Linked DNA regions of Rhinolophus ferrumequinum. The protein of the gene in region 1 purifies or fractionates together with the protein of each later gene. This does not show direct contact. Links are inferred from orthologs where the notes say so. Each region holds a gene or a part of one and is shown in the gene's direction. Other genes may lie near its edges. The genes, in order: ACVR1 and TGFBRAP1.

The links.
Region 2: the proteins of ACVR1 (region 1) and TGFBRAP1 purify together in Homo sapiens (co-immunoprecipitation; 3 studies listed by BioGRID and IntAct, counting the BioPlex papers as one, with this or other methods). This does not show direct contact. The link is inferred for Rhinolophus ferrumequinum from reciprocal best matches to the Homo sapiens genes ACVR1 and TGFBRAP1.

The regions. Positions count from the first base shown.
Region 1 is NC_046291.1:63,994,254-64,007,070, forward strand, and holds the start of ACVR1 (activin receptor type-1), read left to right. Parts: upstream 1-7,928; 5' UTR 7,929-8,442; intron 8,443-12,817. UniProt on the Homo sapiens protein: Bone morphogenetic protein (BMP) type I receptor that is involved in a wide variety of biological processes, including bone, heart, cartilage, nervous, and reproductive system development and regulation.
Region 2 is NC_046296.1:13,282-25,797, forward strand, and holds the start of TGFBRAP1 (transforming growth factor-beta receptor-associated protein 1), read left to right. Parts: upstream 1-5,377; 5' UTR 5,378-5,490; intron 5,491-12,516. UniProt on the Homo sapiens protein: Plays a role in the TGF-beta/activin signaling pathway. It associates with inactive heteromeric TGF-beta and activin receptor complexes, mainly through the type II receptor, and is released upon activation of signaling.

The DNA.
Region 1 (12,817 bases):
CAAAGATGTAGGAAATAATAAGTGAAAACCAAGTTAATCTTTAAAAGTTGTTTATAGATTGGAATTTCTGCCTTGTTAGTGCTCAGCAGGAAAGAAAAAAAGAAAAAGAAAGCTTGTTATACTTTTATCAATAAAAATAACACTAACATCCTAATGGAAAAGAGATAAAGGTCATTAACTGAAAAGAAAATTAGAAAAATACAAGAGTTGATATATTTAGGATTAAGGTACAACCTCAGCAATCAAATAAATGTAAATTAAAACAGAAGTTTTTACATTTTTACATTGGCAAGGATAATAGAGGGTAGGTGATAAAGATAGTAAACGGTGTGGTGAGATAGACAAGCCACTGGAAAAAGTTTAAATTACCTAGCAATTGGAAATATGATATAGATTATGACTTTTAGGAATCTATCCCAAGGAAATATAATGAGATGCTGTTAAAAGTTGTGGTATATCCATAGGTTTAAATCAGTCAAAAATTCATACTCTCACAGACTCTCTAATGCTCTGAAAATGCTCACAATATAATTAAGAAGAGTAAGAGAAAACTGTGGATTTATATATATAAAAATGCATAGAAAAGACAAGAGAACATAATCCAAAGTATGCCTACTTACACTGGAAATAGTAACATTGTGATTTTATCTTCTTTGAAATACATTTCTCTATTTCCTCTATGTATTTATTTTATAGTGAATATTGGTTTAATTCCAATTTATTTACATATTTTTTATAAAAGTAACAATTACTGCAAAACTTTAACAAAACGCAACCTAAGAATACAAAGTATAAATCTGGTGAGAGACTGCTAATGTGTACAGGGTTGTTTTGAGGGAGGGATGAAAATGTTTTAAAATTGATTGTAGTGTTAGTTGCACATCTCTGAATATACTAAACACCACTGAATTGGACACTTTAAATGAGTGAATTGTATGCTATGTGAATTATATCTCAATAAAGTTGCTATAAAAAAGAAAAGAGTATAAAGATCACAGCACTGCCCCCGTCCCAAGATTACCACTACGAGCATCATGGTGTGTAGCCTTCCAAACTCATTTCTGTACCTCATACACACTTGTTTCAAGAATAAAAATCAGATCATACCATGCATATTGTTTAAAAATATTTTTAATTACACCATGTATAAGTTTATAATCAGAAAATATAATGGGACTGGAGGGTGATTAGGAAAACCAGATCCAGTCTCATCTTAACCAGCTCGGAGACCTTGAGAAATGACGCGATCTTTCAAGGACAAAGTTTTTCACATGTAAAAGGCAGGGCTGGGACGACATGAGATTTTGGTCCCTTCCAAATTTAGAGTTCTGTGAGTTTATGCTTCTCTGAGTGGGGACTCAATAACAGTAGTAAAACTTTGGATATAATAACTTTGTTGTAATAACAAAGACTATTCATAAGAACTGGTAATCTTCAAGATATGCTGTTGATTTTTTTTTAAAAAGCAAAGGATAGAGTGTGTATAGCCTGCTACTATCTGTGCTAAAGCAAAAGCGAATCCACGTGTACTTTCATATGTTTACAATATTTCTGTAAGGATACACAGCAGCTGGCATTAAGGAGAGGGAACTGGGTGGCTGGGAGACTGGTGGTTCTGGAACTTCCGTTTCACTACACAGTATATCCTTTTGTTCTTGTATTTTTTTTTTTAAACAAAATAATTATAGGGAAAAATCTTGTTAACAAAGGGATATAGATGTCTTGGGTGTAATGATAAGTGATGTTAAGCAAACTTTTCACTCACTACCTGCCTTCTTGCTTAAACACTTTTAATTACTTCCCTTGTGAGACCTGCATGATTGGGCCAGGGCACCTCCATCCTTCTCTATGGACATTTTGCCACATGCTACTTTTTCTCCAGTCATGCTGGCCTTCCGTCACTTCCTAAGTATCTTAAGCTCCTTCCTTGTCTGCAGAAATGTCAAACATAGTATAGGCAACTTCAGACAATAGGCTTTTGAGGAATTGCAACTCAAGTCACGGAATTTCAAAACTGAGAGACCTCTGAAATGCAGCTCATCCCTCACTTTACACCTGAGGAGTACCTAGGCTCTATAACCTGAAGTCACCTGCTGAAGGTTACACAGCCTAAGTTTTCTGCTACATGTAATTAACCTTAGCAGCTAGCTCTCTGGAGTTTCATTAAACAAAAGTAGGTTAATAAAGAGGCAGCCTTTGGATTTTAGATATTGGTAGAATGGGGCCACACAAGGACTTGGGAAATTAATTTGATTTCTTATCCATGAACATGTCTTCATGATGCCAGTGTTCAGAGGGACCAATCAGGCAAAACAATGTTCCCTAAAAATGAAAAGCCACGGAGATACTGGATTCTACCAAGATTATATCTGAAGTATATTTGTTTAATTTGAGGAAGAAATTAATTTGATCAGCTGAGGGCATTCATCCAGGGACTAGCTTTTAAAAATCCACATCTCCACAGTGTAGCTAAATCAGCTTTAGTTAAGTAAATTAGAAACTTAAGCAGCTTCAGAACATGAGCAAGACCACGGACAGGCCTGATGAGCATCTAGCCCTCAAGGTTACAAGGAAATGGTCACCAAAGGTCACAAAGATGCAATCAAAGAATGAGAGAAGGCACTAAGTCTGATCTACCAGCAGAGCAAGAAAACACGAGATTCGAATTACATTCTCTGCATCCTGCCTCCCACTTCACAAATATAAATCCACATACATTCCTCACCAGTTAGGTGTTGCTCTATGATTATCAGACCCTTTTGAAATATGTGCATTTCTGTTTTTATAATTGTTATTATTTCTGCTTATACAAGTAATACGTTATAGAAAAGTTTGAACACACAGACATGTGTACAGAAGAAAATAAAAGTCAACCATATCCATGATCCAAAGATAACACTGCACATCCTGGAATATTTTCTTCTAGTCTTTTCTCTTTGTGTACATGTGAGTGTGAGGGATTCATGTGCTTATAAGGGTTCTGGAATTGGAATACTACCTTTGTATTTTATTTTTTTCAACTTACGCTTTATTGTTGGCATTTCCAAAATTACTAGACGATGATTACCCTTTTATACAAATCTTTGTGCCATTGATGATTATTTTCACAGCATAAATTCCTGAAATGGGATTAAAGTGTCAAAAGGTATAAATATTTTTTAAGGCATTTGATATATGTTACTTAATTTTCTTCAAGAAATCATTTCCCAGTTTACATTCTCTATAACTGTCATTTATAAAGTCAGTCTTACCAGTAGAGAATATGCTCAATTGCTAACAAATTGTGTGAAATATTTCATCTGTTTGGTTTGCATTACCTTTTCTTCAATTTTTAGAGTAAAATTTTTTCCTGATGGTCATGGTAATTTTTGTCTTTGTCCATTCATGACATCTGCCCAACTTGCTATTAAAGGCTGCATTTGGTTGATTTGTAAGAATTTTTTGTTTTGTTTAATCTATTAAAGACTTGAACCTTTTGAGTATATGTTGTAAGTAGTTTCACTACTCTGCTTTTTCCTTCTTCTGATTACTTAAAAAAAAATTTAGGGAAAAATTTTTCCATGGTTAAGCCTACCAATCTATTTCTTATATAGCTTTAATTTAGAAAGTCCTTTTCAATCCAAACATATTATCTGACTATATTTGCTTTAATTTGTCATTTAAAACAATGTTAACTCTTTATTCCTTCTGGAAATATTTTCAGAAATGGTATGAGAGGAAGCACTAACAGGATTTTCCCCAAGTGCTTCAACATCGTTTGAATGAATAATCTTTCCTTTCTGTAATGGTTTTGTGATGTCTCTTTTATCACATGGTTGGCCCATAGCCACACACTGGTTTGCATGTAACCTGCTGTGCCAGGAGGTGACTGTATTAACTTTCCCAAGTGGGAAATAACTGTAGGGCTGTTTGAGGACTCCCCGTGTAGCTCCAACAGTTCCTTGAATATGGTAGACAGCCAATAAAGTCTTGTATGAAATGAACAATTAATGAGTCTTTCATACACCTGGGAAAGTTTAACTGGAAGATTAATAAGTGTCTGTCCTGACTGGTTAAATGTTTACCTTTTGGGGAAAAGGGAGCCAGGCCTGATAGGATTTGTAGTGACCCTTTCAGGTTGATTTTTCTCTTCCATCCCCTAGTATTCTGATCCATTCACTTAGATCTTTGGAACACAGTACTGGTTTTTTTTTTTTTTTATGGGCTTCAGGATTAGGACTAAATTTCAGATGTCAAGGACATTGAATTCATCATTCTCCAAGAATAGTTATGATGCAGCTGGGTCAGTATTTCTCATGCTTGAATAATGTATAGACAGCTTTAAAAGGAAAAACAGAATCTTCATGGACCTTTATTGATACTTTAAATTATTTTTATTGCAATTATTATTTGAATAAGCTGCATGTTCTTACAGGTACATAGCCAAAAAGGATAGCGAAATCGTTTGCATGGTAGACATTCAGATGATCTAGTATCATAGTATCATGAATATGTATCATAGTTAATTTATTAATTTGTTTAAAAAATACTGTAACTGAAGCCAAAGCACAAATTTCATGGATTTCATAAAGAACTTGGAGATCCCCTAAGAGTATGTGTCCTAGTTCCAGTCTAACAAAATAGAAATAGGAGAATCACTTTACCATAAGCCACATCCAACCCTCAAACTTTGCCCTTTTTCTACGCTGTTTCTAGTCTTCAACGTTCAACTTCAATGTGAAAAATCACTAAACTAGATGTAAACCAATCTCTATATGCTTGAAACCATTAGAAAACTATAGAAAAATTGAATATGAACAAAACTATAAACCTAGTGTTTCAAATAACTTTATTTAACGAGACAGATATTGTTTTGCTGAACACCAATGTCTGCTCACGTCAGAAACCTTGGTACTGTTGCCTGATAGGAGCAGGGTTTATTTTTGGTTCTATGTGCCCATACTAAATGAACAGACTTATTAACATTTGCTCATTACTTTAACCATTATTCTTTATTTTTCTTCAAGAAATCTTTAGAAATTGAACTGTAGCACATTAATCTGTCAGGAGTCTCATCAATACCACCAGCTCTCAAACACCCCAATATTCTTCTAAAGAATTTGCTGCTGGAAGTTAGTATGTATAACTAAGCTGATTTTCGCTTTATAGGTTTTTAATAAACCATGTTCCCTTATAACACTATAAAAGCTCTCTCTAGAACCAAAATAATGGCTTCAAGATAAAAGAAGTCACTCACTTTAGTTACGTACTTCAATTATTTTAAATGAAATCAGTTCTAAAAATTACAATTTATATTCTGTATCACATCTGAGTGCAGAGAGGCTGTGGTTATTGTTTAAGTCGAAGAGCTTAACTGTAATGAGAAAGCTTGCTGCAAAATTTTATGAAATAAATTCCCCAAATTTTATAGGAAAATACTGTACAGGACTCTCAGGTTGCTCAAGACCCTGTTTCCTAATAGTTTTTGAAAGCTGTTGACTTTTAGAAATGAACATGTTGATCTGGGCATAAAGGAGGACGATATGCAGAAATCAGGAGATGCCAATTCACAATGCAGCAGGCAGTTAATTAACTAGAGTCGTGCTCCTTGAAACATACGATGGAGGAGAGCTGAGAATCTTAGAATAACAGAAGATGTATTTCGTCCAAGTTACTTTACTGGTCTGTTTTCCACCAGAGTTAAATCAATGGATTAGATGTGGGGTAAGGCAGTGGCTCTCAACAGGGGGCGATTCTGCCCCCTAGGAAACATTTGGCAATGTCTAGAGACATTTTTAGTGGTCACAGCTGTAGAAGGAAGGCGTCCCACTTGCATCTACTGGATAGAGGTCAAGGATGATACAAAGATATTTACAACGTACCAGAAAGCACCCCAACACAATTATCCTACCATATAAAGATGTCAATAGTACACAGGTTGAGAAACCCTGGATTAAGGTGTCTAAGCCAAAGAACTGCATTTGGGGTGTATCCTTGGGTGGACAGGGCTTGTGCGGAGGGCTGTATCCTTGTGTATCATCCTGCTCTACACACACACGCGCGCACACACACACACACACACACACAGAAAATCAACCGATCAATGTTACAAGTCTACAAGAACTACCCAGAATCCTCCCAGATAATCTCCTGAAATACAAATTAGTCACAGGAAAAATCAGAAGGTTTTTTTGCATTGAACCAGTCACACAAGAAGGAACCACTACTGAAGGAACAGTTAAAAGGACAACAGGATTCATTAGTTCATTTATTCACTTATTCAGCAAACCTTTATTGAGTACCCACATGTGCTACTCTGCTAGGTGTGATACATTGTGAACACAGCCAAACCTGGTCCCTGCCCTCATGGGGCTTACAGACTAGAAGAGAAGGTTACCAACAAAGGGCCAGTAAAATGAGGACTCCGTAAATGTACAGGACTTAGGAACATTTACACAGCAGCTTGAAAAGCGTCCACATGTGTCTAATCTCATTTGAACTGCACAACAAACTTCATGAGACAGGCTCTATTCCCTTCTTCCAGAGGTTAAAAATGGGCTCAAGGTCACACAGTTTCTAAGTGGCCACGGCTGACACTTCAACCAAATCACACTGATATCCCTGTTATATTCTTCTAAAGAGCAAGACTACATATAGGCACTCTTGCTTTATCTGACCTGGAATTTCCTCTCCAGATCTCCATCAATTATATAGGAACAAAGCCCTTCCCCTTTAAAAAAATAATAAAGCACCCAGCCTTCTCCATCTTCTTGCTTCTGTAATACCTGGGGATTATTTTCTAGCTGTTTCATCTATGTATGTTTTGTGTTCCTCATTAGATTGTAAATTCCTGACCTGCAGGGCCCAGATCTTCCATTTCCTTTGCAATCTTTTGCAGTACTGCAGTCACCCAATAAATGCCTGCTGCATAAATGAACCTGTAGAGATAAAAATACTTTATGGTATTCCCATTTATGGCTTTCATGCTTGTATTTTGCTTTGTGATAGGACTGTGCATAAGCTTCTAGAGGGCAGAGAAAATGGTTTAGTGCTTTCCTTACACTCAGCAGGCACCATGCAAAATTTGATCCTTGCATGCCTTTTTGATGCTCTGGATAATATTAGCACACTGGAGTGTTTTCGTGTATCTAAGGACCGAGGTTGTCAGCCTCTCTGTGGCGGGGAATGTTTCTTCCTTTCCACTGTAAGCTCCCATGGCGCCTAGGACCGGGCTAGACTACTGCAGAAGCCTCCTCCCCTCACCAACCCGCATATTTTTATTACTAAGGAGGCCGACTGAGAAATGGCAAGCTCCAGCATAATCCGACCTTGCGAGGAAATAAGTGGAAGGGGATTTGAAGGCAGGTCAGAAATGGCCTGGATGTGAATGCCGAGGCTTCTCTCTGAGAATCCAGCCTAAGTCTAACAAGCAGGAGTCCAGCCGCGCGCCTCCCGCAGTCCCGGGGCCGGGAGGCAGCCAGAACCTCCCGCCCGCTCACCCCGGGAGCTGTCCAGACGGCCCCGCCCGCGCCTACCTGGGCACTCACCCGCGCCGCGACGCCTCTCCTCCTCCCACCCCGGTCGCGGGAGCCCGGCTGGGGCCTGCCCCGCCGCCTCCGAGGAGACCCGCGGGCGGCGCGCTCGCCGCCTCCTCCGGCCCCGCCAAACAGCGCGGGGGCGCGCCGGGGGCGACGAGGTCAGGCTCGGCGGGACTCCGCGAGCTCGCCACCGGCCGGGCGCCTGCAGGGGGCGCGGGGACCGCCCCGCCCCGCTGCCTTCCCCTTCCCTCCCGGCTCCCTGGATCTGCGCCGGGAGGAAATGATGTGTTGCTGCCTGGTTAATCACAGCTCCAGACACTCATTGGCCGATCGCTCCGCAGCCACTTCCTTCTCCTCCTCCTCCCGCTCCTCCCGCTCCGGCTCCTGCTTTTTGCAGCCGCCGCCGCCGCAGCAACCTCCCCCTCCGCGCTGGGGGAACTTTTCTACTCTCTGTGGTCGTCTCCCCCAACGCCCCCAGGGCAAGCCCCCACCCGCCGGCCCGCCCCGCCCGCGGCCGTCCTCCCTGCCCGTGCCGCGGCGCTTCGGGAAGTTTATTCCGCCCGCCCTCCTCCCCTTCCTTCTCCTCCTCCGCCTCTTCACCCCGCCTCCCCTCCCTCCCTCGGCTCTTTCCCCGGGGTGGCTGCCGCTGCTGCTGCCGCCGCTGCCGGGCTGCTCCTCGGCCAGCCGTGCCGGCCCGCGGACTGGAAAGCGCCTGGCCCCGCGCACCGCTCCGCTCCGCTGCAGCCTCCTCTCGGGGCCGGCCGCCGGCCCTTGGCCCCGCAGAGTTCCGGGCTCCCCCGCCGGCTGCAGCGCCCCGCCCCGCGCCCGCCGGGGCCGCCCGCCCGGTGCCGCGCCGACCTGCAGCGCCCGGCTGGCTCGCACTCCGCCTCCCCCGGCTCAGCCCCCGACCGCGGCGGGACCAGAGGTGAGGGCAGGTCGCCGGCCGAGCCTGCCGGAGCCGGGTGGATCGAGGGAGGAGGGAGCCTAACGGGAGAAGAGGCTGGGATTGGGGGTGGGAGGGTGGGCGTCTGCGGTGCCTCCCCTTCGCTTTCATTCCTTTCTCCCCCAAGCTCGATCCCCTCTCGGTGGGGGAAGCAGCCGCGGAACAAAACTGTCTTGCGTTGGGCCTGAACTGCTGGTGGGCTATGGGAGAGGGCAGAGGCATGGAGTGTTGGCGGGGGGGGGGGGGGGTCTCTGGTTTGGTGTGTGTGTGTGTGTGTGTGTGTGTGTGTGTGTGTGTTGAACTCCTTCAGTCTGTGCGCCTCTGACTTGTAAATCGATCTGGCCGCCCGACCACGGGTCTCACCTTCCTAGCTGAGCTTGGTAGGGAGTAAAGAGATGGGCGAAACACCCCCACCCTCAAAATATCCGTCGCTTCCAAAAGGAATTTTCTGCTGGAGAGACAGCCAATAAACTCTGCTCAACTCCCTCCCTCCCTCTCCGTTCTTCCTAGCTGCAGTTTCAAAAAGCTTCAAAGCCAGGAATGTGGGATTCATCTTCCGATCCCCAGAAGGCAAATGTGGTTACAGATGTTGCACGGTACTTTGCCAAGTTTAAAACCCTTCCTTCAACACTGTAACAAAAACAGTGAGGCTAGAACCCTGGGTGCGCTGGGGAGAGATGTGGGTCTCTGGGGCTGCCCTATTCACCACCTTCTGTTGGGTTCTAGACGGGCTCAGCTCTGTCCACTTTGTGCACTATATGTCTCCCCCCTCCCTTTTCCCTGGAGTTTTGAATACTTCTTGCATAGGAGAGAAGCTATAGAGGAAGCTACTTAGGGAAGATAACATTCCACTTAGTAGCAGAAGAAAAGCCTTGGGTTAAAAAGTTGTGCTTAATTTAGCTTTTGGAGAGAGGTAGCAAAGTAATACAATGGATTGATTATTTTTTTCGGGCTTTTTTTTTTTTTTTTTGAGGTGTGTGTGATGGGAGTTAGATGATGAGAAAAATGATTGACCTCATACATATTTTGTATATTTTTGAAAAGAGACCTCCAATTGAGACATAGACACAACCCAGTGGTTTTAAAGAACCCTGTCCCTGTTCACTGCTCTGACAGCCCAGGGAAGGCGGTGGCAAAAAATAGACACCACCTCCCTTTTCTCCCAGAAAAATTCTTCCTGGAAAGATGGTGTTAAGAAATTTCAGAGATGGGCTGATCTAAGTGGCGGGCCTTAAATGGAAGCACTATAGTATGTCCTGGCACTTGTCTCTGGAGGTGGGTGGCTGGCCAGGGGCCCGGGCTTGGGCAGCCAGCGGACACTAGACTTGTGCTGACCTCAGACACTGGGTTTGCCGTCCAGCTTTACAGTATGCTTAAGTATGAAATACGGGCCTCACACATTTCACTGATGGGGACATTGGGGTCAGGAAGTTACTTTAGGTCTAGACAGGACTTGGATCACCCAGCTTTTAAGATCAAATCACTTTTTTTTTTTTTAAACTCAGTCCTCTCTTACATTAACTCTTTTTTTTAAAGCTATGTCTGTCTGTTTTTTTTTTTTTTTTTTTTTATTGGGGAATATTGGGGAGCAGCGTGTTTCTCCAGGATCCATCAGCTCCAAACAGGGTCCATCAGCTTCAAGTCTTGTCCTTCACTCTAGTTGTGGAGGGTGCAGCTCAGCTCAGTCGCTGTTTTCAATCTTTAGTTGCAGGGTCACAGCCCATCATCCCATGCTGGAATTGAACTGGCAACCTTGTTGAGAGCTCATGCTCTAAACGAACTGAGCCATCCCTGACGCCCCCAAGACCAAATCACTTTTTTGTGATTCATTTGTTTCTGTTTTCTGTCCTGGAATTAAAAAAAGGAAGTCTTTTAAAGCTGAAATATGTAGGCCTTAAACTGATGGAATTGTGTGTTGGATAACAGCATTTGTACTGTCACCCCTCATGCAAATACTCAAAGGTGATGAATGATGTTGCAGTAAACTTTGGAGACAGGGCAAAAATCAAGGGCTGGGATGGGTATAGACCGGGTTCCTGCTTTCCTTTTCCAGCACTATGGGTGAGTTTTACTTGAAATGTAGAGAGTGTTTTTAAATAAAACTTGATTTAGGTAGTAGTTTTACAACTTTTGTACTTTGTTAGAGAGTGATCATTTGAATCCAAAGAAGCTTCTTGTTATCTCTAAGTAATAATTTTAAGAGAATAGTAAGGAAGTGGAGTAAAGATGGAGGAGTATGCTACATTTAGGATTGTAATTATAGGCATAAGTTGGAGGTATTGCAAATTCAGTTCCAGACCACCGAGATAAAGTGAGATAAAGCGGGTATTGCAACAAAGTGAGTCATAGTAATATTTTTGCTGAAGGGTCTTGCCTTCAATTTGTAAAAAACGAAACACCTGTGAAACACAATAAAGTGACACACAATCCAACCAGGTATGCCTGTAATTTCAGAAGTGAGGAGCTTAATTTCATTAATAGCATTGTGATGACTTTTTTTCCCAAAGTTGTGATTTCCTAAATTTTTGCGTCTGTCCATGGAACAGATAACAGTGTTGAATCAGTAAATAGAGACTATGCCTCTACCTTACCCTAGGTTGCACTGAACTAGTTCTGTGACGGTCATGATAGGCTTCTAGGTAAGGTTGGCTTGAGTAGGCGAGCCTTACTGGGGGAGGGAGGAAGGGGCAGAAATGGATTTGAAAAATGATCCTGCTATTCAAGGTCACGATGGGAAGACGGAATCAATGCGCGTAGCTGTACTGTCCTTTAGGCAAAGAGGTGCTGGGACCTCCGAACAGCCCTCTGTGCTTGTTCTGCTGTTGGATCCCTGCATGTTGATTTTTATGTGAAGAGATCAACGTGCAACTTGTTAGCAATTAGAGAGAAGTAAACCAGGCACAGTGCTCCGCTCTTTACATGCACTTTTCCATGACATTTTCACAACAGTCATATGTTTTGTTATTATTTCACTCTTTTACAATAAGAAATTGAGGCTTGGCAAAATTAAGTGAAGAAAAAGTTGTAGATCTAATGAATAGTGGAGCCGGGACTTGAACCAGGATTTTGTGGGACTCTCTACTTTCGCCAGTGTTTGCTCAATTTTATTCATTCTTACAGTGTATTCATGAGTTTACCTTAGCTAAGTGTCACTTTGTCTATTAATTATGTTTTTTGTTTTAAAGCGACAATTCACCTTTTTGGAAAACAAAACTTAAAGATATCTTTTCAGAGAAAACTGTATTACTGCCATATTCCTAACTCACTTGTTAGGAAGAGGAGGTAATTATAAAGATGCAGTCATACTTCTAGGGAAACCCCAAATTCAGGATAATGATTATCTGGGGAGTGTGTATGTGTGCGCGTGTGTGTGAGCGCGTGGGCACGCATTGATGGGAGGAGGTAGGGAGATATACAGTATTGGTGATACACACAGAACGAATGGCTGATTGACAGGACCCCAGGTGATCATTTTAAAGCAAAGCTGATTGTTGTCATATCCGAAATAAGATCGAGGTGCATCCCCTCCTCTCTTTTCTCCTGCTTCCATGCTCATTTCCTGTACAGGTTTTCTCAGCTATCTGGAAGTAAAGCATTCCAATGGAACCTTTTGTAAGCTGAGATCACATAAAGCAAAAAATCAATTACTATTAATTTACATGAAAAAAAATTTTGAGCATTCTCAGACCCCAAAAAATAACCTACTAAATCATAGCAAGTAACATATGAGAACTAAAATAACAATGTATACTAAAAGCAGGAATGCACAGAATAAATCGAGATAAAGCACAGGGGCTCACAGACACAGATGAAAGCTATGGCAGCTTGACGCTGAGATGCTGAGTGTGGTTTCTGGGAAAGAAGCTTGTGGGTCCAACTTTCACTGCTCAGGGTACCTGCTGCCTCTGTAAGGATCCTTGCAAAGCAAATACATATTTTCCTTTCGGCTTCTTTGGTAAAAGCGCAAATCCTCTTCCAATTTTTTTTCCAGGTAGTGAAAATAGGTACTAATGTAGATCTTTCATAAAAGCAAAGTGGCATAACATGAACTTTTGGAAAAGTGGGGCATACCTGTATTGTGACTAAAATAATAGCATGAGCTTCTGCGTGGTTTCTCCTGACTGCGGTTTTGGGAGAACTGGCACTTCTCAGCATCACCTTGCCTTACGCATCTTATGCTCCGGATGAGGCAAAGAATGCTGTCATGAAGTGTTAAAATGCTTTCGTTTTGACCTAGTGCTAAGTATGACCATTCAGCCCCAGAAGTTGGTTTTTCAGTTAAAGCAGTGTCTGGGTAAAACGTTGACAGCATTAAACTGGTGAGACTGGGAAATAAAGCCATCAGAGATTTTAATTG
Region 2 (12,516 bases), on another chromosome or scaffold:
GTGGTAGGCACTCAAGTATTTGTTGCCTGAAATAATACTACGTATTCACTTCACGTATGAAAACAGACAGAACGCCGCTGACAACGGCCAGACGTTTGTTACACATTCACTGTGTGCCAGGTAATGCATTTTATATGGATTACCTCATTCCTCAGAATGGCCCTATGAGGCGTGTATTACTAAAACGCTTGTTTTTCAGGTGAGGAAACTGAGGCATTAGGGTAATTTGCTCAAGATCATCGGAAGTAGCAAGGTTGACATTCAAGAACATTTTCTCTGCACTTACAAAGAGAATTGGAAAATAAGTGAGATGCTAAATTAAAAAAAGCGATAAAGTTGAAAAGTGTTTTGCAATTTTTCTTTATCATTTATGTATATGATACTTTATCTAGAAATTTCAGACCCGGGCAGAAACTTAAAAGTTACTCAGTTCAGTTCTTCCATTTTAGTGCTGAGGAAGTTAATCGGAAGAAAATTAAATGACTTGTCCAAAGTGGAACAGAGTTGTAGAACTGAGCTGAGGTGGCATTTGGATGCCCTTATTTAGAGTTAAGTGTATTAACTTCATGGTATTAGCATCATAGTGTTTCATATCCAAGATGATTTTCACGACAAGAGTGAAATCAGTGTGACTGGTATTACGTTGTCCCCATGTCCTTCACCAAAAGGCACATGGTTTTAGTGGCAAAAGCAACTGCCTTGCAAGAAGTCGGGGAAAGCTAGACCTCGGTTCAGATTTTGTTCTGCTATATCAAGACCTTGTGTGAGTTACTCAGGACTCTCAGCCTCAGTCTTACCAGAAAAATGCTCTGCTGACACCTTCCGTGAAGAATTACCAAAGGATTCTTCTGCCAACTGCATTTAGCACAGAGTAGGTGCTCAGCCGGTAGCTGATTTTAGAAATACTTCACGTCTCCCCTCAGCTTCCTCACCTGTACAATGGAAATGACACCACCACCTCCCAGTGTTGGGAGGTTGCAGCCGAAGTATGAAAAGTGCCTCCTCTGTTGCCTCTAGCTGGAGATTTGCTGTGGCCTTTGACTGTCATCAAAGGACAGAAGTGGCAGGATGGTGGTGGAGGTGGGAAAAAACACTTTGAGTGTAACAGTCTGAAACTGTGGTTACAGCTCCTCGCTGTGTTCTTTCTACTTGTAGTTTCCTGGACCAGTCACCTAACCTGAAACCTCAAGCTCTTCATCAGCAAAAATGTTCTGTGGCAGCTAAGATCTGTGCTTTTTTTTTCTCCCTGTAGTTCCCAGTTTAAAACTAAATCCATTAAGATAATTCTAGGTGCCCCTGAAGCTAAAACCTCTGTATAGAGGGAGTATCCCTACGAGGCAGGAAAAAAGCAAAAACATCAAGATTCAGAGAGGAGGAAGTAGATTAAGATTCTAATCCCCCTTCGGCGCCGAGAGAGGGAGATACTTTGGGAACGCCTGTCCCCTTAATTCCACTCTGAGCGGAGCTTTGGCGAGTGCAGCCTCAGGGTAGTTGCAGTCTGTTAACTGTATTCTAATCAGCATTTCTGAGGTAGGAATTTGGGGTGGGCGGTAGAATTTGCATTTCTAACAAGTTCTGAAGTGCTGTTTCAAATATGTCTAGGTAGAAGGGCCACCTCACAGAGATTCCTGCCACATCATAGGCAGCCACAGACGTCCTCGACCCTCAAGCCAGGCTAGTTACTATGATTGGAAGGGCCAGGCCCGTCAGCACTGAGACCAAAAGACTGAAAACCCACACCAGAGTGGACAAAGAACATCTTAGAATCCTTCTGGGGACCAGTGGTGCAAAGATCTGATGTCTCCCGCTTCTCATTGTGGCACTTCAGAGGTTGCGGAACCTAGACACAGCCCTGAGGAAGGGGGCGGGCCTCCGTTGATAAGATTATTGTTACTGCAGCCAAGTGGGGTCTTAAAATAGAAATAATGCTCACAGAAAACAAAACTTCTATTTGTTACACACTTCAGTTGTAGATGGAAGTTTATTATCTGTGAGTGTTATACAGTAACCATAAATTTTTAAGTTCAGTCTGAGAGTTTTCCCTTCACTCAAAGATCGTGGGGTTTTATTCGTTAACGTGTTTATTTGGTACCTATAGTTGACAAGAACGAAGCTGAGGGAAACCAGCAGACAGCCTTGCCTGGCATCATCACCTCATTAGGTTAGGAGTTCCCCCAGGACAGGGCCATATATTTCCCTTGAATCTCCCACCTGGTCACTGGCATGCACAGTGCTTGCACTTAGTAGGTACTTAATAAATGTTTTTGAACGAATCATAAAATGTATACTGAGAACTTTGAGTGTTGTTGATTCCTCTTTCTTAGTGTAATATTTAAGGTACTTGTTACAAATGTCAAAAATATATCTGAGCATAATTCAAAGAGCTTCAAAGTGAATGTAATAATTTAAAAAATATTTCACATTTTAGACCTGTGTTTTTAGCTATTTGGAGCCACAGTTCTGCTTTGAGTTTCAAATAACTACCATAATAATAATTGATTATATTTTTTATTATTGTCCTTTCTCATTCTTTTTACAATCAGATCATCATAAAGATGCATTCACAGACAAACTCCCTACTGGCTTTCTTGTAAAACCCATCTCATAGGACACTTGTTTCATGAGTTCCTTTAAACTGTCTCTTACATCTTTGCGTTCTCAGCACCCAGCACAGTGCCTGGTACACAGTATAAGAACAGTAAGTGTGTGCTGAATGAATATGAATAAACCTTTCCAGATCCTCAAGCACTTCCTAACTGAGGTCTCTCCTGTCACCTAGGATCTGGTTGGGGGGTAGTTCTTCCACATACCCCACTAAATCAGTGGTTCTCAAAACTGAGTGAGCTTTAACTTAAAGTCACCTGGAGAGCTTGTAAACAAACAGTGTGCTGGGCCCCACCCCCAAGTTTCTGACTTAGGAAATGTGGAGTGTGGGCAGGGGGATTTGCATTTCTAACAAGTTCCAAGGTGACGTTGGTAGTCGCACCACTGAACTGAAGTAAGCTGCTTGAGGGCAGGGCCTGTGTCCTTGTTTTAGTATCCCCAGCAGCTTCTACCATAGGACCTGGTACCTAGGAGCTCTTCAAGAAATATTTTATTTGATTAACAGTTTAAAAAGTATATTTTACTGAATCTAGATTACAAGTCTATGAATATATGTGTATATATCATTAAATGAGAATACATATAAGAGCTCTTAAAACATGGCCCATATTAAGCTATGTTTGCTAAAAATAATAAATGTAACCTTTGTTTAATCTCATCTTCTAAAATGATACCCAAATTAGATGTCACTTTTAACAAGAGAACTTATAAAGTAACAGAATCTTAGCATTAAAAGCCTTTTTTAAAGATAACAGTTTATTAATATTAAGTATCAGGAATTTGAAAAATTGGTTGAGTGCTTCCTACGTGCAGATAGACATTGCGAGAACAAGATAGACACATTCGTCCTTAAGAGCCTACAACCAGTGAGGAACTTTAAGTGTGAGTATGTGTAAGTGTGAGGATGTTAAGTTTGGGGAGTAGATGGCCACTATAAAGCATTCGGTTGTATCTATTCAATCTTCATTAATCTATTAGAATACATCTTTTTTATATTCTATAAGATACTTTTGACATGCTTAATATGGACCCAAGGAATATTTAATAAATGTTTAAAAGTTAACAACTTTGAGGCTGGCCCGGTGGCTCAGGCCGTTGGAGCTCCGTGCTCCTAACTCCAAAGGCTGCCAGTTCGATTCCCACATGGGCCAGTGGGCTCTCAACCACAAGGTTGCCGCTTCAATTCCTCGAGTCCCACAAGGGATGGTGGGCAGCACCCCCTGCAACTAAGATTGAACACAGCACCTTGAGCTGAGCTGCCACTGAGCTCCCAGGTGTGGCTCGGTTGGCGCGCATCCTCTCAACCACAAGGTTGCTTGTTGGATTCCCGATAGAGATGATGGGCTGCACCCCCTGCAACTAGAAAATGGCAACTGGACCTGGAGCTGAGCTGCACCCTCCACAACTAAGACTCAAAGGACAACAACTTGAAGCTGAGCGGCACCCTCCACAACTAACATTGAAAGGACCACAACTTGACTTGGAAAAAAGTCCTGGAAGTACACACTGTTCCCCAATAAAGTCCTGTTCCCCTTCCCCAATAAAATCTTAAAAAAAAAAAAAAGTGAACAACTTTGAAAAACATATGACTTTGATATTTCTTCTTAAATATAATCAATCAAAACAACATAAGGAATTTAGAATTAGCCGTGGGGCAAATATTCCCACGCTTATGGAATAATTACACACAGGTTCCTCTCACATGTGAAATAGACCTCTCAGAAAGTTCCAGGAAAAACAAATGTTTCTAGATAGGATAATGTGCACATGTGGAGCTTGCCATCTTAAAAATCCTATGGTAAATCCTTTCATAAAGGAAATTATTATTTCCAAATTATCTTTCTTCCCTTTTTTTGTTAATATACATTTTTACTCCTAGATTGATTAAAGCAGAATACAAATGTTCCATAAACTTCAATCAATAGAACTTAATTTTATCTATATAAAAAATTCACTGTGTTGTTGAATTCTGGGTTCTTTGCTCTGTTCTTACTACCAGGGAATTTGGGATAAGTCATTCACTTCTTTTTGCCTGTCACTCATCTGTAAAATGGAGAAATTAATAGTGCCTACTTCATAAGGACAGAGGCTTAAATGGGATCATTGCTGTAAGGCTCTTAGCCCAGTGTCAGGCAGTCAGTAGATGTCACCTGTGACTAATCTTGTACAGTTCTCTGTACCCTGCAAATGTGGCTTTTAGGCCCCGCTGGTCAGTGATTAGCTGCTCAACAATACATTTCAGTGCCATAAGAAACACCCCAGCAAGACTTTGTCAGTCAGATGGCAGCCTGGTCAAGCATTTCCCAGGACTGATTGATTGGTGGTTGGTTGGTTGGTTGATTCATTCATTCAGCAGCTATTTCCTGGGTCCTACACTACATCCAGCCTGTTTTGATGTTAGAAATAGGAGTGGTGAGCAAATCATGCAAGGCCAGTGTTTTCATGAAGCTCTACGTGCCGGTGGGGGAAGAGGAAATACACTAATAACAATCATTGCTAACACTTCATGAGCACCCACCCTGTGCCAGTCAGCGTTCTAAGTCCTTTACAGGAATTAACTCCTTTATCCGACCGCCCCACGAGGCAGGCGCTACTGTGATCCCTTAGTCTAAGGGAAACTGAGGCTAAGAGGGATGCTCCACTGGGCGCTGGGCCAGGAGTGTGGTTTCTAGCAGCCTAGGGACGTCCCGACGGTCGTGGGGCGCGGGGACCAACGCGCTCCCGCCCTCCCGGCGCCCGGCGGCCGCCCCACGTGACGGGAAGCGACGGCGGCGGCGGCGGAGCCGGACCAGCCCAAGAGCCGCGGCCGGGAGCGGGCGGCGGGCGGCGGGGGGCCCCAGGCCGCAGGGCCGGCGCGACGGTAGAGGCCGGCGCTGCGCCGCGCGGGTGAGTGCGGAGGGCGGCGGGCTGCCGGGGCACGGGGCGCCGGCAGGAGCGCGCGGAGAAGGGGGCTGGAGGGCGGGGCCCCGTGGAGGGGGCAGGGCGAGCGAGTGGGTGCCTGGGGGGTCGTGAGCAGGCAGGTTAGTGTGTGCGGGCAGGAATGGGGGGCAGAGTGCCTGTCAAATCGAAGACAGGTGTGCCAGTGTGTGGGGGGGTCGGGGGTCGGTGCACGAGTGTGCACATGTGTGTGGACTGGGGCAGGTGTGCCCGAGCCCGGGATCCGCGGTGTGGTCGTTGTGGCGTGGAGGAGAGAGTGGGTGCGGAGTGGGCGTGTGTTTCGGGCAGGGGAGGATCAGAGACCTCGTCCTTGAATTGAGGTAGGCGTTTAGTTTTCTGGAGGGAAGAAGAGCAGGGAAGACTACACCCTTGTGTCCCTTGCCCTTCCACCCCTTGTATGGAACGGTTTTGTCGCTGTAATTGATGTTTCCTGGAGCTGTTGGGATTTGAGAGCTCAAATTTCGGGTCGCGTTCGGGCCTGACTTGTTGCCCTGAACTGGGAGACTATGCAGGGTGTGTTGAGGAGGGCAGAGACCGGCCGGTTCACAGCCCCCTTCAGCAGGGCCCGGAGCTGCCACCCCCTGCGATTTGCCTTTTCCTGGCCTTTTGTTGGGGCAGGTGCAAGTTGGGTTTCCAGTTTGCCTCCCTCTGTGTTATATGGGGATGACTCTAAAGACAGAAGCTGTCCTTTGTCGCCTCCAGTTGTCTGCACCTATCATTGCTTCCACCCATGGACTGTTGAGCAACCCTCACAAAGCCCCCCAGGCTGTTCTGGGGGCTGTCTGGCTGCTGGAAATGGGGATTCACACAGTGCTTCTTAATGCAAATGACTGTATGGGGTGCTGGGGTCAAAACATGTCAGAGCGGGGTTTAATCCATGGTGAAGTGCTGGTGGGCAGGCGCCTGTCTTCTGGAGGAAAGGCCCAGCCGGAAGGCACTGAGAGAAGTGTGTGAGGAGCCTTTGCAGCGTGAGCGGGCTTACCTGAAGTCCGAACTCACCACGTGGAGGGGCCTGTGGGTGCCCACTACGCTCTCCTCTGGACCCGCTTCTCTGGTGCTCAGCCGGAAACTGGTGGAGAACTGAGGGCTCCCAGCGCTCTGGTCAGATAGGAAGAAACATCTAGCCAGCTGCTTCCCTTTTCTTTCCATTTCTGCCAGCCAAGCAGTCTCGCAGTCATTGGGGCAGCCTCTTTGGTGTGTAGCACTAGAAAGAACCCTGACCGGATCCCCTGGGAGCCTGTCTAGAACTAGCCCTTCCAGGGCCCAGTGCATCTAAGAAATGGGGGCAGTGCTGCTCCATGGTGCTGAGCATGGAATTGTGGGTTCAAATCCTGCCCCCACCAGTGTTCCCCAACTCAGTTGAAAATCCGCTTTTTGACTTCTCCAAAACTTAACTACAGTCAGTCGTCCCTGGGTATCTGCCAGGGATTGGTGCTAGGACCCCCGCGGATACCAGATCCTCAAGTCCCTTATATACAAGGGCTTAGACCCGTGCATAAGATCGGCCCTCCTTATCTGCGGTTTCCCACCTGCGCATCAAAAATACTGTTTTCTGTCCACAGTTAGGTGAATCCATGGATTTGTAACCCAGGTTTACACAGGGCCGAGTGTGTATTTATTGAAAAAAATCCCTGTGTTAGTGGACCTGCGCAGTCCAAACGCATGTTGTTGTTCAATGGTGAGCTGTAATTGTTAACCCAATGAATACTTCTCTCTGGGGTTTGACTCCTCTTGGGACCTGATCCCAATTTGCTGTACGCGTTACAGTGTATACATTTTACTAAGAAATTGAGTGATACCTTTTCCCCTTTTCCCCTCTTCCCCTCCATCGTCAACCCTGAGCAGCAGAACTCTGATCCTGGAGTTGGAGGTGGCGGGTGTTATCCACCACTGCAGGCTCCTAGGACACTTCAGCCTCTGCCTAACCCCCTATGACAGATTTGTAAGGGCCCATTCTCCTGTTATGCAGCTCCAGCTGACACGTTTTAACAACACAGAGCTCACTGTTTTAAAAAGGCTAAATTTTCTAGGCCTTATTTGTAGCTAGCATTTCTGTTTAGGAAAAAAAAAAGTTGTTATTATGGCTAATTTCTTCATGCTAATATTAAACATTTGTGATCCTTTAAGAAAACTTGAGGAAATTTTATTTAATGAGTTAAGCATCTTTATCTTTGATTCCAATTCTTATTAGAAATACATTAGTCATTTGTGGGGGCCAGGTGTTTGGATACTGCCAAATAATTTGGCCCATACTTTACAATTCATCTCCTCTGTGGCAAACCTGACCCATTTTTCTTTATTGAAAAAAAAACATAACTACTAAATGAATGTAGAAGTAACAGTTTCATCTGGGGCCATCCCAGATGAGTCTGAGTGCTTTGTGAAGTCTTGCAAGGGATTTGGAACGAAGATTTTTTTCTTGATAGTCAAGTAGCTGCTGTTGAGTAAATTAAAGATTCAAGAAAAACAATGTATGTGAAAGGACAATTGCCTAGGATCCAGTAGGCACTGGATAATTCCTTGTGGCTGTTTAAAGGTCCAGTATTGAGGAAGATGTCATAAAGGAAATGCCCTAGATACTCATACTCCCGCTCTGCTTCTCTGCCACCTTTCCCTGCCCTTCCCAAAGCCTGTCCTCCGTGATGACTGTCGATGTGACTATTGTAGGATGTATATGATATACATAGATAGACACACTATATGCATGTAGATGTGTATATGTATACACTTATGTATATATATTTACACATATATTTAGATAATCTAGATAGTGTTACCCAGGGAAAGGATAAAAGCTATGACTAGTCACATCTAGGTATGTACCAGAATAATATCAAGACGACAAGTTAGATGTTATACCTTAGTTGTATTTTTTTCCTTCTTTCTTAACATACTCTCTCAGGTCGTGGAAACAGTTTTCTTATGCTATAACTTGTCTAATGCTGCCTCTGTCACATGAGCGCGAAAGATAACATTAAATGTTTGTCAGGTAGCATCCTAATTTTCAAAAGTGGGACAAGCTGTCTGTGGTACAAGTCAGTAAATTGGTTGTGGATTCCTGGAAAATTTCAGGATTGAGCCATGGAGCAGATGGCTGTGAGAAGTTAGAGAAGAGCCTGGGACCAGCATGGGGTGTGGTTCCATAAGAACAGCGTGTGTCACATAAACATATATCCTGTTCTGATAAAATTACGAGGTTAATGGAGAAGTGTGTGAGTGTATCATTCTGTATCTGAAATTTAGCAGGGCAGTACTGACGCTGAACCCCATTTGGTGAGAAGCATTTATTTGTGACAAAGGTTGTGTAGGGGGCAGAGGGCAGGGGCAAGCCATTTTGGAAACAGAGAAACCTACGTATGAGGGAGGAGAATAGGATGCCTTCTCTAGACTCAGTATGGGAAGGCCAGGGCCCTACTGATAACAAGAGTCCCTTAGGAGGCGTTACAGCAGGACACTCATATCACAGTGGTATCCTGTTTAGAGTCATCGCTTTCTTCTAAGAGCATCTGAAATCACACTTGTCCCCTTCGGTCAGTAGAGTGGAAGAATATGGCCTTGAAGTCAAAAACAGAAACTGGTTGGAGTCTCTGTTTCATCACCTGGTAGCTTTGTAACCTTGAGTAAGCCACCAAAAATCTGTGTGTCCACCTCTCAGAGTAGTGTGAGAATGAAAGGAAATCATTTATGTCAAGTACACAGTATCCCACCAAACCCAGTGCTCAGGGGCTCTCGAAAGGCGGCCATCAAGGCATCGGCCACAATCACTGGGTGCCCATCCTTCGTCCAGACTTGGAGCAGCCTCTGTCCCTGGGCAGCCAGGTGGCTCCGTGCTTAAGGGCGTGTGCTCCTGAGACAAGCTGTCCGGGCTGGGATCTCAGTTCTCCATGGTCATTCAGCCTTTTGAAACCTCTATTTCCTCCATTTCCTCCCTTGCAGAATGGAATTATGATACTACTCGCCTCATAGGTTTGCTGTGAGCGTGAAGAGAGCTTTTAATGTGGAGCCTGGCACATAATGAGCCTTCCAGAAGTCTTAGCTCCTCTACCATAGTGTTATTACTACCCTGTCCTCCAAAGGAGCTGGAAAATGCTACAGGGGAAGCATGGCGAGTCCCGATTCCTATTTCACAAGGAGGTGATGGGCCCAGAGGCTATAAGTGACTTGCCCCAGATCGGAAGCAGTTGGCCAAGCCGCTAGAGCTCAGGATCCCCAGGTCAATATTGAGAAGGTCTGCTTTGCACCATGCCGCCTTCAGCACTGTTCACCGCGTGGCCCAGGTTAGCTCCGGGGCCTTGCGCCTGACAGAGAGAGGGAGGGCATTTACAGAGCCTCGCCTCTGCTCTTTCCTAGCTTCTCTTGCCCAAAGCCCTACGGCTGGCCATCAGAGCCCCTCACCTGCCTGCTTTTCCTGACGTTTGCGGTATATCAGAGTTTGGACTCCGCAGGAGTCAGCTTACATGTGCCCCAACCCAATCTGAATTCGTCTATGTAAGAAGTCTTCAATGAGCATAAGTCCCAAAGTCTCCTCTTGGAAATTCATTTTCAGGAGAAAAAACTTAATTTGTACATATTTTTCATGTCTATAATTTGAAGCTAGAACACTAAATTGAGAAAAATCACCTCCAAAAGTAACTGTAGAAAAAAGATGGTGCAATGGCCCCAGCATCCCGAGGCCCTAAGGGGCATTCTGCTGGGCTGCTGGTCATTGCCTATTCCATTTTCTCTCTTTCAGGTACTGACACTCAGATCATTCTGAATGTCTCCTTTCCTGATAGATTACACTAAGGCAAGGTAATAAACCAACAACTGTGATTACATTGATCTTTGTATTTTAACTTTTGAAGTAGCTTTGGGCTTATTAAGAGATGAAAAATGATAGAGTTCGCATAAACTCCTTACTTAGCTTCCCCCTTCGTTGACATCTTGTATGACCATAGTATAGTGATCAGAACTAGTAAGTGAGTATCAGTACTGTTAACCAAACTACAGACTGCATTCGATTTCACCAGTTTTCCCACTAATGTCCTTTCTGTCCCACAATCCTGTTTCTGATCTAGTTTCCCCACATCGCATTTAGTCGTCCTGTCTCCTGGGTCTCTAACCTGTGACAGTTCCTCAGTCTCTCCTCTTTTTTCATGACCTTAACACTCTTGAGGAGAGTCAGGGATTTTGTAGATGTCCCTCAGTTTGGGGTACTTTGGCGTTTTCTCATGATTGGGTTGTGGTGACTTTGTTTTCTCCCCAAGAATACCACAGTGGTGACATGACTCGATTACATTTGAGTTTAATGTTGGGCTCCACTCTGTGTCCCCCTGAAGCAGCAGGAGCAACAGGGATGAGACTTCCCTGGTTCTCAGGAAGTTCGCTGGTGCCCAGGCCCCAGTAAGCAATTCTCCCTCCCAGTGTCTCCCACCCCCCTGCGACCTGCGACATAAATGTCCTCTTGTTCCCTGTTAAGTTTCTCTGTTGTTTCCACATGCCCAGTCCCCTAATTACTCTGTTATGTTACCTTGAGGATTTAGGATCTTTTTCTGAGGCGCCAACGGCAGCTGGAAAAACAAAAATGTCACGCCTTCTTGAACACACATACTCAAATTAATGTTTGTGACCACGGAGCCTGAAAGTCGTATCAAACCTCATCTGACTTTAGAGGGGCCGCTAAGATAATTCTTACTTTTTTTTTTTTATCTTGAGATGATGTCGATTGTAATTACAGTCAATTTATATCCTCAGAAGAGAGCTAATTGGCCCCCAAACCACCAAAATTCATCTTTTAGGTGCTTACTAAAGTTTGAGATGCTGACGGGGTTTTATTGAGTGTGTTAATTCTGCAGGCTGTGAAGGTGAGTGTCAGAGAGCCAGTAAAGCCCCCTATAGGAATTGGAGGTGTTTAGCAGTTCGATTTTTGTAGAGGACGTCAATTAACATTTTCTTTCGCTCATTTAGCACAAAGAGCATCTAAAGGTAGCTGCAATGAAAGAACGTTTGCTAGCAGTGTTTGCCTTTTCCCACCCACTAAAGAATTTTGAGTCTGTGATTGGGCTATTCATTTCGTCAGGAACATAGCATAGGCCAAATGAAAAAAATACATCCCGTCATACCTCTACCTGTCCTGCTGGATACCTGTGACAGTGTGGCCAAGAGAGGAAAGATGAGCGTGGGGGTGGGCCAGTGTCAGGGAGGAGGACAGGAAGATCAGAGTTTGTGCTCAGTGCCACAGGGATGCAAAAACAGACGTGGGACACTGGGCAGCAGGTCTCTTAGTAACTGCCCACACCATTTCTATTTTATTATAAGCTGACGTGAGCCAGGCTGATGCGAACACCTGCCCGAACCCAGCTGAGTCCTCCACCTGACTTCTGGGCTATCCCAATCCAGGCATCAGGTCAGTCCCTTCACTGGGACCACTAGAAAACTGGCCCCTGAACTGGCTTCTAAGTTTTCCTCCCTTAAACATCATTCAGGTTCAGCCTAAAACAATATGGGGAGTAATGCAAGGTGTCCTGCCATCTTGGAGAGTGCTCCTTTCTGGCCCCTTCCCCTTCCCCCTGATGATTTCCCTCAGCTCTGTACTCTGCACTTCAGCTTTTTCTCCTGATCATATGGGGCCAACACTGGGACCCGGCGACCTGGAGCTGAAAAGAACCCAAGACATTTGGGAGGGCCTGTATTCTCCCCCAGCCTTTCCCAAGAGTGTAAGAATGTACGACAACTTTTGTTAATTGCCTTAGAGGTTTGTTTTTTAGCACTGATATTTTCAGTTTTCTTGAAGCTGTTCCCCTGTAGTGGATATTGGTATCGGTCTATGGCTTCGTGGTCTTCATAAGTACATCTACCTTGGTGAATTGAGAAACTTTTTAAGAAATTTTTTTTTTCTATAAAAGAAAAGTCATATATTAAAGTGGCACAAGGTAAACTTTTAAAAATTCATTGTATTTATAGAAATAACTGCAAACCACAGGAAGATTCAAAGAA